3 linked regions of the Saccharomyces cerevisiae S288C genome follow. The gene in region 1 interacts genetically with each later gene. Each region holds a gene or a part of one and is shown on either strand. Other genes may lie near its edges.

The links. Genes that interact genetically often act in the same process or in processes that back each other up.
Region 2: mutations in PAU4 (region 1) and MEF2 together harm fitness more than expected from each alone (negative genetic interaction), as found in Saccharomyces cerevisiae (one large-scale study listed by BioGRID).
Region 3: mutations in PAU4 (region 1) and MSN1 together harm fitness more than expected from each alone (negative genetic interaction), as found in Saccharomyces cerevisiae (2 studies listed by BioGRID).

What each region holds. Positions count from the first base shown.
Region 1 is NC_001144.5:1,060,583-1,064,542, reverse strand, and holds PAU4 (seripauperin PAU4), read right to left. Parts: upstream 1,625-3,960; coding exon 1,262-1,624; downstream 1-1,261. Other genes in the region: YLR460C (uncharacterized protein), read left to right, coding at 3,656-3,960.
Region 2 is NC_001142.9:229,681-234,267, reverse strand, and holds MEF2 (mitochondrial elongation factor MEF2), read right to left. Parts: upstream 2,968-4,587; coding exon 508-2,967; downstream 1-507. Other genes in the region: GSM1 (Gsm1p), read left to right, coding at 3,387-4,587. UniProt on the Saccharomyces cerevisiae protein: Mitochondrial GTPase that mediates the disassembly of ribosomes from messenger RNA at the termination of mitochondrial protein biosynthesis. Not involved in the GTP-dependent ribosomal translocation step during translation elongation.
Region 3 is NC_001147.6:98,224-101,464, reverse strand, and holds MSN1 (Msn1p), read right to left. Parts: upstream 1,657-3,241; coding exon 508-1,656; downstream 1-507. Other genes in the region: RRI2 (Rri2p), read right to left, coding at 1,977-3,241. UniProt on the Saccharomyces cerevisiae protein: May function as a transcriptional activator. Increased dosage of MSN1 restores invertase expression in yeast mutants defective in the SNF1 protein kinase, and msn1 disruption reduced derepression of invertase in the wild-type. May affect SUC2 expression.

The DNA.
Region 1 (3,960 bases):
GCACGGCACTTGCCTCAGCGGTCTATACTCTGTGCCATTTACCCATAAATCCCATGATTATCCACATTTTAATATCTATATCTCATTCAGTGGCCTCGAATATTGTAAAAATGCTCTTAATACATACGTTATATTACTTTTGCACCATATACTAACCACTCAATTTAAATACACTTATGCCAATATTACAGAAAAATCACCACTAAAATCACCTAAACATAAAAATATTCTATTCTTCAACAATAATACAAAAACATATTGACTTGGAGTATGAACACTACCATGACGTCATTAACGTAAAAGTTCCTTAATATTGCAGTTTGCTTGAACGGATGCCATTTCAGAATATTTCGTACTTATGCAGACCATACATTAGAATAATATGCTACCTCACTGTCGTAACACTCTCCATTCACTGTGCTATAATATGGTACTGTGTTGACACTCATGCGGGTGCTATGATAAAATTGTATCCTATTTCCATTCCCATATGCTATCCGCAATATCCTAAAAGCATAACTGATGCATCTTTAATCTTGTATGTGACACTACTCATACGAAGAGACTATATCTGAACAAGACGATACTGTGATAGGTACGTTATTTAATAGGATCTATAACGAAATGTCAAATAATTTTACGGTAATATAACTTATCAGCGGCGTATACTGAAACGGACGTTACGATATTGTCTCACTTCATCTTACCACCCTCTATCTTATTGTTGATAGAACACTAACCCTTCAGCTTTATTTCTGGTTACGGTTACACAAAAACTATCGCAACCCAGAAATTTTGATATTTTCAGTGTCAAAAAATGAGGGTCTCTAAATGAGAGTTTGATACCATGACTCCGTAACTCGCACTGCCCTGATCTGCAATCTTGTTCTTAGAAGTGACGCATATTCTATACGGCCCGACGCGACGCGCCAAAAAATGAAAAAAGAAGCAGCGACTCATTTTTATGGAAAGACAAAGTGCTGAGAAGTCATGCGCTTCCAATTTCATTATTGTTTATTGGACATACTCTATTAGCTTTATTACCATCCACCCTTTTTCTAGAATAGTGTAAAAGTTTCTTTTTATGTTTATCGTATTCATAAAATGCTTCACGAACACTGTCATTGATCAAATAGGTTTATAATATTAATATACATTTATATAATCTACGGTATTTATATCATCAAAAAAAAGTAGTTTTTATTTTATTTTTCATTACTTTTTACTGTCTATGAATTTTCATTCGTAGAGGCACTCGTCCCTAGTTTGCGATAGTGTAGATACCATCTTTGGATAGAGCCTTGGAGATAGCTGGCTTTAATCTGCTGGAGTACCATGGAACACCGGTGATCATTCTGGTCACTTGGTCTGGGGCAATACCAGTCAACATGGTGGTGAAGTCACCGTAGTTGAAAACGGCTTCAGCAACTTCAACTGGGTAGGTTTCAGTTGGGTGGGCGGCTTGGAACATGTAGTATTGGGCCAAGTGAGCTCTGATATCAGAGACGTAGACACCCAATTCAACCAAGTTGACTCTTTCGTCAGATTGAGCTATAGTGGTGGTTGCGGAAGCAGTAGCAGCGATGGCAGCGACACCAGCGGCGATTGAAGTTAATTTGACCATTGTATTTGTTTTGTTTGTTAGTGCTGATATAAGCTTAACAGGAAAGAAAGGAATAAAGACATATTCTCAAAGGCATACAGTTGAAGCAGCTCTATTTATACCCATGCCTTCATCAGTCATCACTATTTAAACGATTCGTTAACAGACGCTCATTTAGCACCTCACATATCCTCCATATCTCATCTTTCACACAATCTCATTATCAGTATGGAAATGCTCTTGTTTCTGAACGAATCATACATCTTTCATAGACTTCGTATGTGGAGTATTGTTTTATGGCACTCATGTGTATTCGTATGCGCAGAATGTGGGAATGCCTATTATAGGGATGCCGGGGTACCTTGAAAAACCCTTTTGCGCGCCTGTGATTTCCGTTTTCGGTCAAAAAGAATATCTGAATTTTAGATTTGGACCCTCGTACAGAAGTCTATTGTCTAAGCCTAATTTCAGTGCTTTAAACGGCTTCCGCGGAAGAAGCATTTCTATCTCTTGAATTCGTACAACATTAAACGTGTGTTGGGAGTCGTATACTGTTAGGGTCTGCAATTTGTGAACTCTCGGCGAATGCCTTGGTGCAATTACGTAATTGTAGCCGCTGAAGGCGGATGGTATTGAGAGAAGTTGATGTTCAAAGTATCGTGTATGATAAAAATAAAATTGTAACCAGTTCGTAGTAGCAGTATTAAAACTTTGCACAGAGGGAAATATTTGATTCCGAGATGTAATCCCTCTTTTCTAGCCAGATATGAAGGAGAAAAGTGTAAGGGTAGTAGAGAGCGCTACTTTATTTTATTTTATTTTAAAAATGTTCTCTAGGAAAGGTGTATTAATAGTTGATAAAAAAAGTATTTTGTCTTCTATGTTCATAATTTCAATTCTTGAATTTTGGAAATCGTGAAATGCTTCGAGAAACCGCCTTCAATAATTAGAAAACAAAATAAAAGATTACAATTAGGCCACTCAAAAATACAATTCAGATAAGAAAGGAGCGATAGTGGGGAGTAAGAATTGGAAATACCCTTGATAATCAGGGAAAACTTAAGGAACGGGGTGTTAAAAGTCTGTGAAGTATAGATCAAACTCGCACTAGCTAGCAATACTCATGAGAACCCATGTGAGTCTAAAGCTGTGAAACTTCTTTAGAAAGCAGAGCATCCTCTAAGTTAACAGTTTTCCATACTTATTCAGTATGGATCAAGTTCCACAGTTTGTCAACTTCTGTAAAATAAACTTGTAGTGCTTCTTCGATGAAAAGGGATAGAATCTTTAAAAGACTTGATCTTGGCATTTTTATCCTCCTTCAAGCAGAATGGCTCCAGTAGAGTTGTTCTGAACGCTTCTGGGCAGTGAGCAGCATTGAAGAAAAAGTACTCAGCATTCCAAGCTTTGTTTTCATATAATTATAAATTAAAACTCATAGCCACCAATTTCCAGGTTTTGGTCGCAATATGCTGCAGAGTCAATGGCTTGTTTCATTACTATACTAGTCCGACGGAGTTTACTTTACTCTAAATTTTCTGAAATAGAAAGGCCACACGCCATACAATTAACAATAGTTCATTTAGTTGAAAGGTTTCCGAGATAGAAAGTGCGGTAGTGGAGAAGAACAATAAACGTATCAAACTTTGCGCAGTCATGGAATTTCCAGGAAACATTTTTAGGTTTTCATATGACAGCAGTTCCTGTCCGAGAGCTGTGCCTTTCTTGTCTCAGCTGACTAAGATGTCTCGGATCCGCCCGGCTGACGCGCGGCTCCGTCTAGTGGGATAGGCTTTCAACACATAGAAAACCCTTCAGATGATGAGAACACATCGAATCCCAGAGAGTAATATCACTAAGAATAAAGCAACCATGATAGACGATATTACTAAGTGTTCCTCAACAGATATTGAGAAAAGTTCTTATAAAGCGGGCAGGCTTTTTTCTATTTTTTTCTTTTTCTTTATCTAGCTTAAGATCTTTCTAACCATATTCTATAAAATGGCAAGCTGAATACAGATTATCAACGACAATTACAGATAACCTACAAACATGCAAGTTGCAATTCCAGAAACCATGAAGGCTGTCGTCATTGAAGACGGTAAAGCGGTTGTTAAAGAGGGCATTCCCATTCCTGAATTGGAAGAAGGATTCGTATTGATTAAGACACTCGCTGTTGCTGGTAACCCCACTGATTGGGCACACATTGACTACAAGATCGGGCCTCAAGGATCTATTCTGGGATGTGATGCTGCTGGCCAAATTGTCAAATTGGGCCCAGCTGTCAATCCTAAAGACTTTTCTATCGGTGATTATATTTATGGGTTCATTCACGGATCTTCCGTAAGGTTTCCTTC
Region 2 (4,587 bases), on another chromosome or scaffold:
ACGGTGATTGAAAAAGCAACGACCAGTATTATACCTCTTTTTTTTATTATTCAGTTTATATTTTTGCAAGTGATCTTAAGCATTTCTACACAAACTTATGCCAACGTGACCATTTATTATTTTATATAGCAAAAAAAAATGAGGGGCCTTGCAGAACAATTGTTGCGAGTTTCTAATAACAAGCACGTAGAATATTGGCCATTTAATTTTTCTCTTCAATTTATAGAATGGTTGTGTTAGTGACAAAAAGAATATTCTTCCCCGCCAGGACTCGAACCTGGAATCTCCTGGTTCGTAGCCAGACGCCGTGACCATTGGGCCACGAGGAACAAGAATATAAAGATCTCTGAGGGCAAGGTATGCCTATGTCGCAATAAAATGTTTGTTCCTGCGCAAAAGTAAAGTTCTATTAATATACAACTACACAGTTATCGGTTCACACTATTCGATAGTTGTAAAAACCATTTTGATAAAGATATAACAAGGCGTTTATTAAGGACATTTTTGCTACAAGTCGTGAAGTATTGATTGTAGGCGATCGTTGGTAACTTTCTCCATATCGGAATATTCAATATTGAACTCACCCCTCCCTTGCGATAAGCTCCTTAGCTTATTGGTGTAGGTGGTAATTTCCCTTAGTGGCACTTTCGCTTTTATAATTTTTTTTACATTAGAACTGGTCTCTTGAGTGTTTTTTTTATCTTTGGTTGCGTGTAGGGTTGTAACAGCATCAGAGGGAATATATATCCTATTGCTGTTCTCTGGAGAATTACAAGTGGATGCGCCAGAATTTGACACGCTTGATTCGTCTTCAATAGACAGAATTTGAGCCTTTCTTGCTCCTGTTAGATCTTGTAACACCGTACCAACATCAGATTGAGGGATTGTTAGATCAAGATTCATGATGGGTTCCAGAAGGTTGTATTTTTCAGGTTTTAAGTCATTGAGAGCTTTAAAAATTAAGTTTCTAGTAATTTTTAAGATTTCTTGTGGAGTTTCAATATCAGGTGGGACTGACCAATCGCTATTGATTTTGATGGAGCATGCATATAAGGGAAAGTTAGCTATTTTTCCGCCTCTTTGAAGTCCCACAATGCAACTTGCAATAATAGAATTTAGAATTGATTCGAAAGAAACTTGGTATTTCCATTCTTTATCCCAATTACCATTTTTTTCCATTATCAGAAAATTCTCGTTGACTCCTAATGGATATGCAAGGCAGTTAGGAAGGGCATCGGAATTTGGTAGCAGAGATAAGGAGAATCTATATCCATCATCACTCTCATACGTTTCTATATTTGTTTCTGAATTAATTGTTTCTTTGTAGGACACCATCAACTGACCAAATTCAACATCTGCTTTTAGGTCATTAACCAATCGATCCTTGGCAATTTCAAGGTGTAATTCACCCATACCGTTTAAAACCGTTTGGCCAGTCTCATCATTTTGAGAAATTGAAAGACTGGGATCTTCAGTAATTAAAGTGTTTAAAGCTTCTTCCATCGATTTTTTATTACTTAAAGTCCTTGGTTCGATGGAAACACCAAAAACTGGTGGGGGAATGAAGATAGAATTGATTTTTAACGTCAACTCCTTTTTTTTATCAAGTGATTTCAACCCATCCTTCTTCGACGAATGCGTTATTAGTGTATCTCCAGTAGATATGTTGTTTTCGACTGTAGAGCCAGTAAGCAATCCGATTTGGCCCGCAGTTAAAATATTTACAGGTTGTGATGTTCCCGCATGGGGTATCAGTAATTTACCCAATTTAAATTTTTCCCCAGTAGTAGAATTATAAACGGTATTGCCACTGTTTAGTGTACCTGAATAAATTCTAATGAATATTTGTTTACCCCTGATTGGATCCGTAATCACTTTGAATGCAAGAGCAATGCAAAGATTTTTGTTGTTGTTTACTAAACATCCAACTTTGGGGTCATATTTCATTGGAACGGTTTTATCATTTAGTTCTGGTAGTTCGGCTTCAATGGGCGAAGGGAGATAATTAACTATAGCATCTAATAGAGGCTGCACGCCAATATTTTTAAAAGACGCACCGCATAAGACAGGTACAATCATATTCTTCATAGTCAGTTTTCTTATTGAAGCGTTCAAAAACTGTGCGGAAACCTTGGAGTAATCGCCTTCTGCCTCCTCTAAGAAGTGCTGGACTAAATCTTCGTCGTATTCAGTCAAAGTCTCTATCATCGATTCCCTACAACGATTACACTGCTCAAGAGAAGTACCATCCAACTCATCCACGATAATTTCATCAGGATTTTCTGGATTCCAGGTTAATCGCTTCCCATTTACGACGTCAATAACACCTTGGAAAACATAATCATTGCTAGTCGGTTGTTTTCGATAGTAAGGAATGTTTACCAACACCGGTTTGGTAGTTGTTCCTCTCATAAATTTATTTATCAAGTCATTGACTGTATGGTTGAAACTCGCCCCCATACGATCCATTTTGTTGATAAAGCAGATTTTGGGCTTCGATTTACTTTGCTTCCAAACCTTCTCTGTCTGTGCCTCTACGCCGGCAACAGCGTCCAAAATGACCACGCATGAATCAATAACTTTCAAAGCCCTAATCACTTCAAAAGTAAAATCTATATGTCCCGGCGTATCAATAAGATTTATTGCAAAAGTATTTCGCCATGGGAATGAAATCGCAGCGCTTTGAATTGTGATACCTCGGGATCTCTCCTGCTCTAAAAAATCAGTTATCGTATCGCCAGTGTCGACGTCTCCAATATGCTTTGAGATTCCTGCATAATAAAGCATCCTCTCTGTTGTGGTAGTTTTACCTGCATCGATATGGGCTATAATTCCTATATTTCTAACCTTAGACAGTGGACTTCTTGCGGTCGATAAGTATCTACTTCCAACGTTAATTACACTTAATCGGTTCTTGCTAATGTTTACTCTTGCGCCCGCCCATCTGCGCACATTCCATTTCCACATAGCCTCCCTCACTTATCTTGCCCCTTTTGTATATCTCTGACTGCCGTTTTGCCACCAGAAAGCTTGTTGATCTATTTCACATTATCTTCTTTTAACCGCCCAGCCTCCGCGCCGTCGTCGTTCTCTGTGCTGATTGGTTATCTCCCCTCTCACTAAGGGAAGGCCTCAAAAATTGTCGAAATGAGAAGAGGCTGAAACGATTTACTAATCATCATAGCCTGCTTAAACGAGTTAACACTAAGGGGAAGGGTACGACTATCATTTGTTCGGATCTCTGAACCGGATATTTTCTTTGTTACACACATCAAGTTTTTGCATGAATAGATCATATTTCGAATGATTTAACGTATTACAGCTTAGCAATAAAGGGAGTAAAGAAATAATATATTTGGATACAGCATACAAGAATATATATACATATGACCAAAAAACTACCTTCAGAGTTGAAACAGACGAGAAAGTCTATCCAGACAGCTTGTGAATTCTGTCATACCAAACATATACAGTGTGACGTAGGGAGGCCATGTCAAAACTGTTTAAAAAGAAATATTGGGAAGTTTTGCAGAGATAAGAAAAGGAAATCAAGAAAACGAATTGAGAAGCATGGAACACAACCATACTTGAATTTGGGGAAGAGGCTGGTAATACATGATGTGCCGTCGAAGACGGTATCCCCCTCAAGCGTACATCTGCAGCGAGATTTTCTATCTTCAGATCAGGAAAAACCAGGCAAAACACCTGCCCACAATACGAATATCCAATATACGTATAATATAAATGATAACTTTCAAAGCGCTGGATCTATTCCACGTATTACGAACTTCAATACGAATAACCGCCAGACCGTCTTAGAAAATACTTCTAATAATATATCAGCTTCACAAGCAGTACATTTAATGAATGACCCCATCATACCCACCGTACGGAAGAGTACTCTCAATTTAAAGTCGCATTTCCTAGAGCAACATAAAGCAATGCAGCAGCCGCTGGCTACCAATTGTTTGGTTGCTACTTCAAACGTTCCTGTGCACTCTGGAATGGACGATAGTAATAAGAGTGACGATGATGTCGATGACGAAACTAATATTCACTTTGATAGTATGTGGTGCAATGACGAATACATGAAATTAAAGGATATAGTAGATATTTCAACGCCGTTTTTACCGAATAACTCCCAGATATTTTCCCTCCAAGAATCAGAATATCCCAATCCTAGCGCATCTACACGGGGAAATTCGTCATTGCATTTAACGAACCTTTTAAACTCGACAAAAAGCGTGAATGACCAAAAGGACTCCTCGATCGGCCATTCCACTTCTACTTTCAATACATATGATGAAGTAGTGTCTAGGCCCTTTATATCTTTAGACATGCTGCATTTGAATCGTGGAGCAAACGCTAATACACACCCATCACATAACGCCAAACTGGAAAGCGAATGTGACAGTTCTAGTCACTCCGATGCAGATCTGGAGAAACATGATACCGATTTCATATCACCTTCAAAGTTTCGTGAATTAGTAAAGACTCCTCAAGACCTATATGACAATAAATGTTTAATAAAACCGCATAATTACAAGCTCGCATACACCAAACTGCTAACTACTTTAAGAAAAAAAT
Region 3 (3,241 bases), on another chromosome or scaffold:
TAGTTCCCTTGCTTATTCACACTTTATGAAAGCGTAACGTTTTTGGTCGTATATTCAAATGGTTTTTTTTTAATGAAACTTAATAGTTATTCTATATTATTTTCCTCTTTTTTTTATTTTATTTTTTTTTTCACACATTATTTTAGAATCATATACAAGAAGCCGAGGATGAATACAGGTTTCTTCGACACTCAACGTGATAATCAAAAGGCAAGATAAGAAAACTGAGTAAACCTAAATATCTCACGCTTGGGATCCTTTACTTAAATTCAGTTAGGTGTTCAGCTATTCTAAATTCAAGAGCGTAAAGTACAAGGCATATTATATAGATATGTATACGTATACAATTGTTGTTGGCTGACTTCTGAGTTTTATAGGATATTATTAGAGATTATTGTTACAGATACAACCCACTTTAAAGGAAAGTCCAATTATTAATTTATTAAGAAAAGCATAAGTGTTACAAGGGCTAATTTGGGATAAAGGTGAATACACAAGAAGCAAATGTCACTTCAAAGTCTCTGGAATATGAGAACTGTGGCATAACCAACCAATAGGTTGTTTAACCTTCTGTTTATCATTAACATATCTTGAGTTTTCTAATATTTCAACAACATAGTTTAATGAATACCCACGATTAAGGCCAGTTTGAATGGCTTTCCAAAGAACCTTTCTTCTCGAATATCTTTTATTTACTGCTGGATCTCGCCTCCATGCCGTTTGATAAAGAGCTTCCATTTTCCTTATAGAAGGCTGCCCGTTAACACCTTCTGTATACTCCTTCCAAACCTCCATCACAGAGTGTGGTGACTTGATAAATTCGAAGGGTCTTGTGCAGACTATTCGTTTCCGTTTCAATCCTGTTTTAGTCTCATACTGTTCCTCCTCAAATGTCGGCACGCTCTCTTGTGCATTTGATTCAACCGCATTTTCATGGTTAGGAGAAACTTTCTGGAGATTAGGAGACTGCCGTGATTGAGAAGAGTTGCTGCTTATGTACAGTCCTTGACTTTGGCCACCATCATTGTTAGGTGGATTTGCTGAATACTCTTCCAAGGATGGGACTAAATTGGAATTATAATTTTGCGGCTTGTTGAACCGAGTGTCCACTGAAGGGTTGGTGCTATTATTTTCTTGGCTTATAGAATTTGAGCTGTTAGTTTGTTGTTGACTCTTATCATTTTCTTGTGAATTTCCATTCAAAATGTCCTCAAAAAGTGTTTCATTACTAACAGCTCCTTCATTTTGCGGATGAGCAGTTTGATCATTATTCATAGGCACTGAAGTATAATTCCTAGGAGCTCCTGGTGCCGTAGTTCCATCAGTGAAGCCTTGTGGGTCAAGAGTTTGGCTTAAGGATATTGACGTAGCTGACACCCCATGCAACGTTCCGCTTAATTTTTCACTGAGAATTTCAGCGTGGCGTTGTTGGTCATTCAGCAATGTTGATAAAAACGCGGTCAGTTCGTTGATTTGTTGCTGTTGGGAGTTTACCACTACATCATATTTTTTAAAGTGAAGATCGAGACGGTTACTTAACGCGTGAAATATACCCTCAAACATCGACATACGCCTTTCCAGCTCAGCAACGCGGTTGGTTAATATAGCCTCATTCTCATTTAGGTTTGAAGCTCCTATGTGCTGGTTACTTGCCATTTCGATGCCTACCTTGAAATAATCTCCTTTTCTGATTTGGTTTCTTTTCTTATAAGCAAGGGGCTTTGTATAATGAATCAGAACACTTTACCCTCAAGCAAATATTTCCTGTTTAACAAACTATGGTCGATAGTTTCCATACCATCAACGCTTTGTAGGTGTACATTTTCATTTCCTTCCACATATCCTTATTATCTTAAATCTCTCCAGAAAAAGCATCACTATAAACGAAATCTTCGAACGGCTTTTACAAAGAAGCTATCTTATGTAAGTGGAATTCCAAAATCGTAATGTTTACACGAACGTGCCTGATCGACATTCTATTCCAGATTGTTAGAGGCCAGTTTGCACAGCTCGAGGTACTTGTTGGAAAACTTCATATACGATGGTAGAAAAGTATCTTCATTCGACTGGTTGCTTACCCTCGGTAATTTTACAGTTTCCCTAGATTTTCTTAATGTATTGAAAAATTCTTTAGAGGATTTGGTTCTTATTCTTGTTGGGTTATTATAAATCGCGACATCGTTAACGTACTCAAAATCTATTAGCCTGGCCTTTTCAGTGGTTTCTTCATCCTTGGGAGAGATCATAAGACGAAATTCTTCTTTAGAACATCTCGGTAGCATGACTTTATTCTCGTCTCCGAAATAGACTAAATCACTTGTCAAATCTAACTTAAAATACACAACCGATCTATTTTTCATTATTGACCTCATTAAAATTGTTAGCAAATCATCTCTTGTCATTTCATTGTCATCACTTATTTGCAGCATACTTATAATGTCACTTATGGAGATACAGGAGTATAATCGTGCAATTTTTCTCCACAACTTTAATGTCTGCGCCAGATAGTAAATATCTTGAATAATTCCACTTAGTACTACGGACAATTCAGGAATAAGAGATATACTTGCATTCAGCTGTCTTAGTTCCAGTTGTGCGAAGCACCTGTAGACATCTTCTAATACGTTAACAATAGGGCTGCCTAGCGCAATCTTCACTTGTTCGAAACCAAAAGGATTAATCTTGTCTGTGCTAATTGCTTCTAGAATCATGCTCGTGAAAATGAAGCCGCTAAGAATGAACTTGTGAAACAAAGAGGTAATATCCCTCTCCCGAAGTTTTCCCATCTCTTCCAAGTGTTTCAAGATATAGAGGAACATATTTTTTAGCTCTTCTTTCCGATCATAATATCTCATCAGCGCAAAGGATAAATCATTCTCTGAATCAGAGTCTAAAATGAATACAATCTTAGAGGTATATAATATTACCATCAGTCCAGATTCTTGTGAGAAAGTAAGCGACTTAGATATCAACATTTCAAAAAAGTCAATGCACTTCTTAAACAACCTTCTATTGTTTATTCGTGCAGTGTTCATATACTCCAATATGTAATACTGCAGTAACATAGATACACTTTCCAAATCATTATTTTCCTCAAAAGAAGAGCATTCATTATCTTTCACAAGAATCTCTATTTGGGAAGAAATTTCCGGGGTGAATACATTCCCCATGGTTAACCTTTGATACCAAACAACGGCAATAAATATCTTTTTTCTAATTATACGCTGGAGATTTTGGAGTT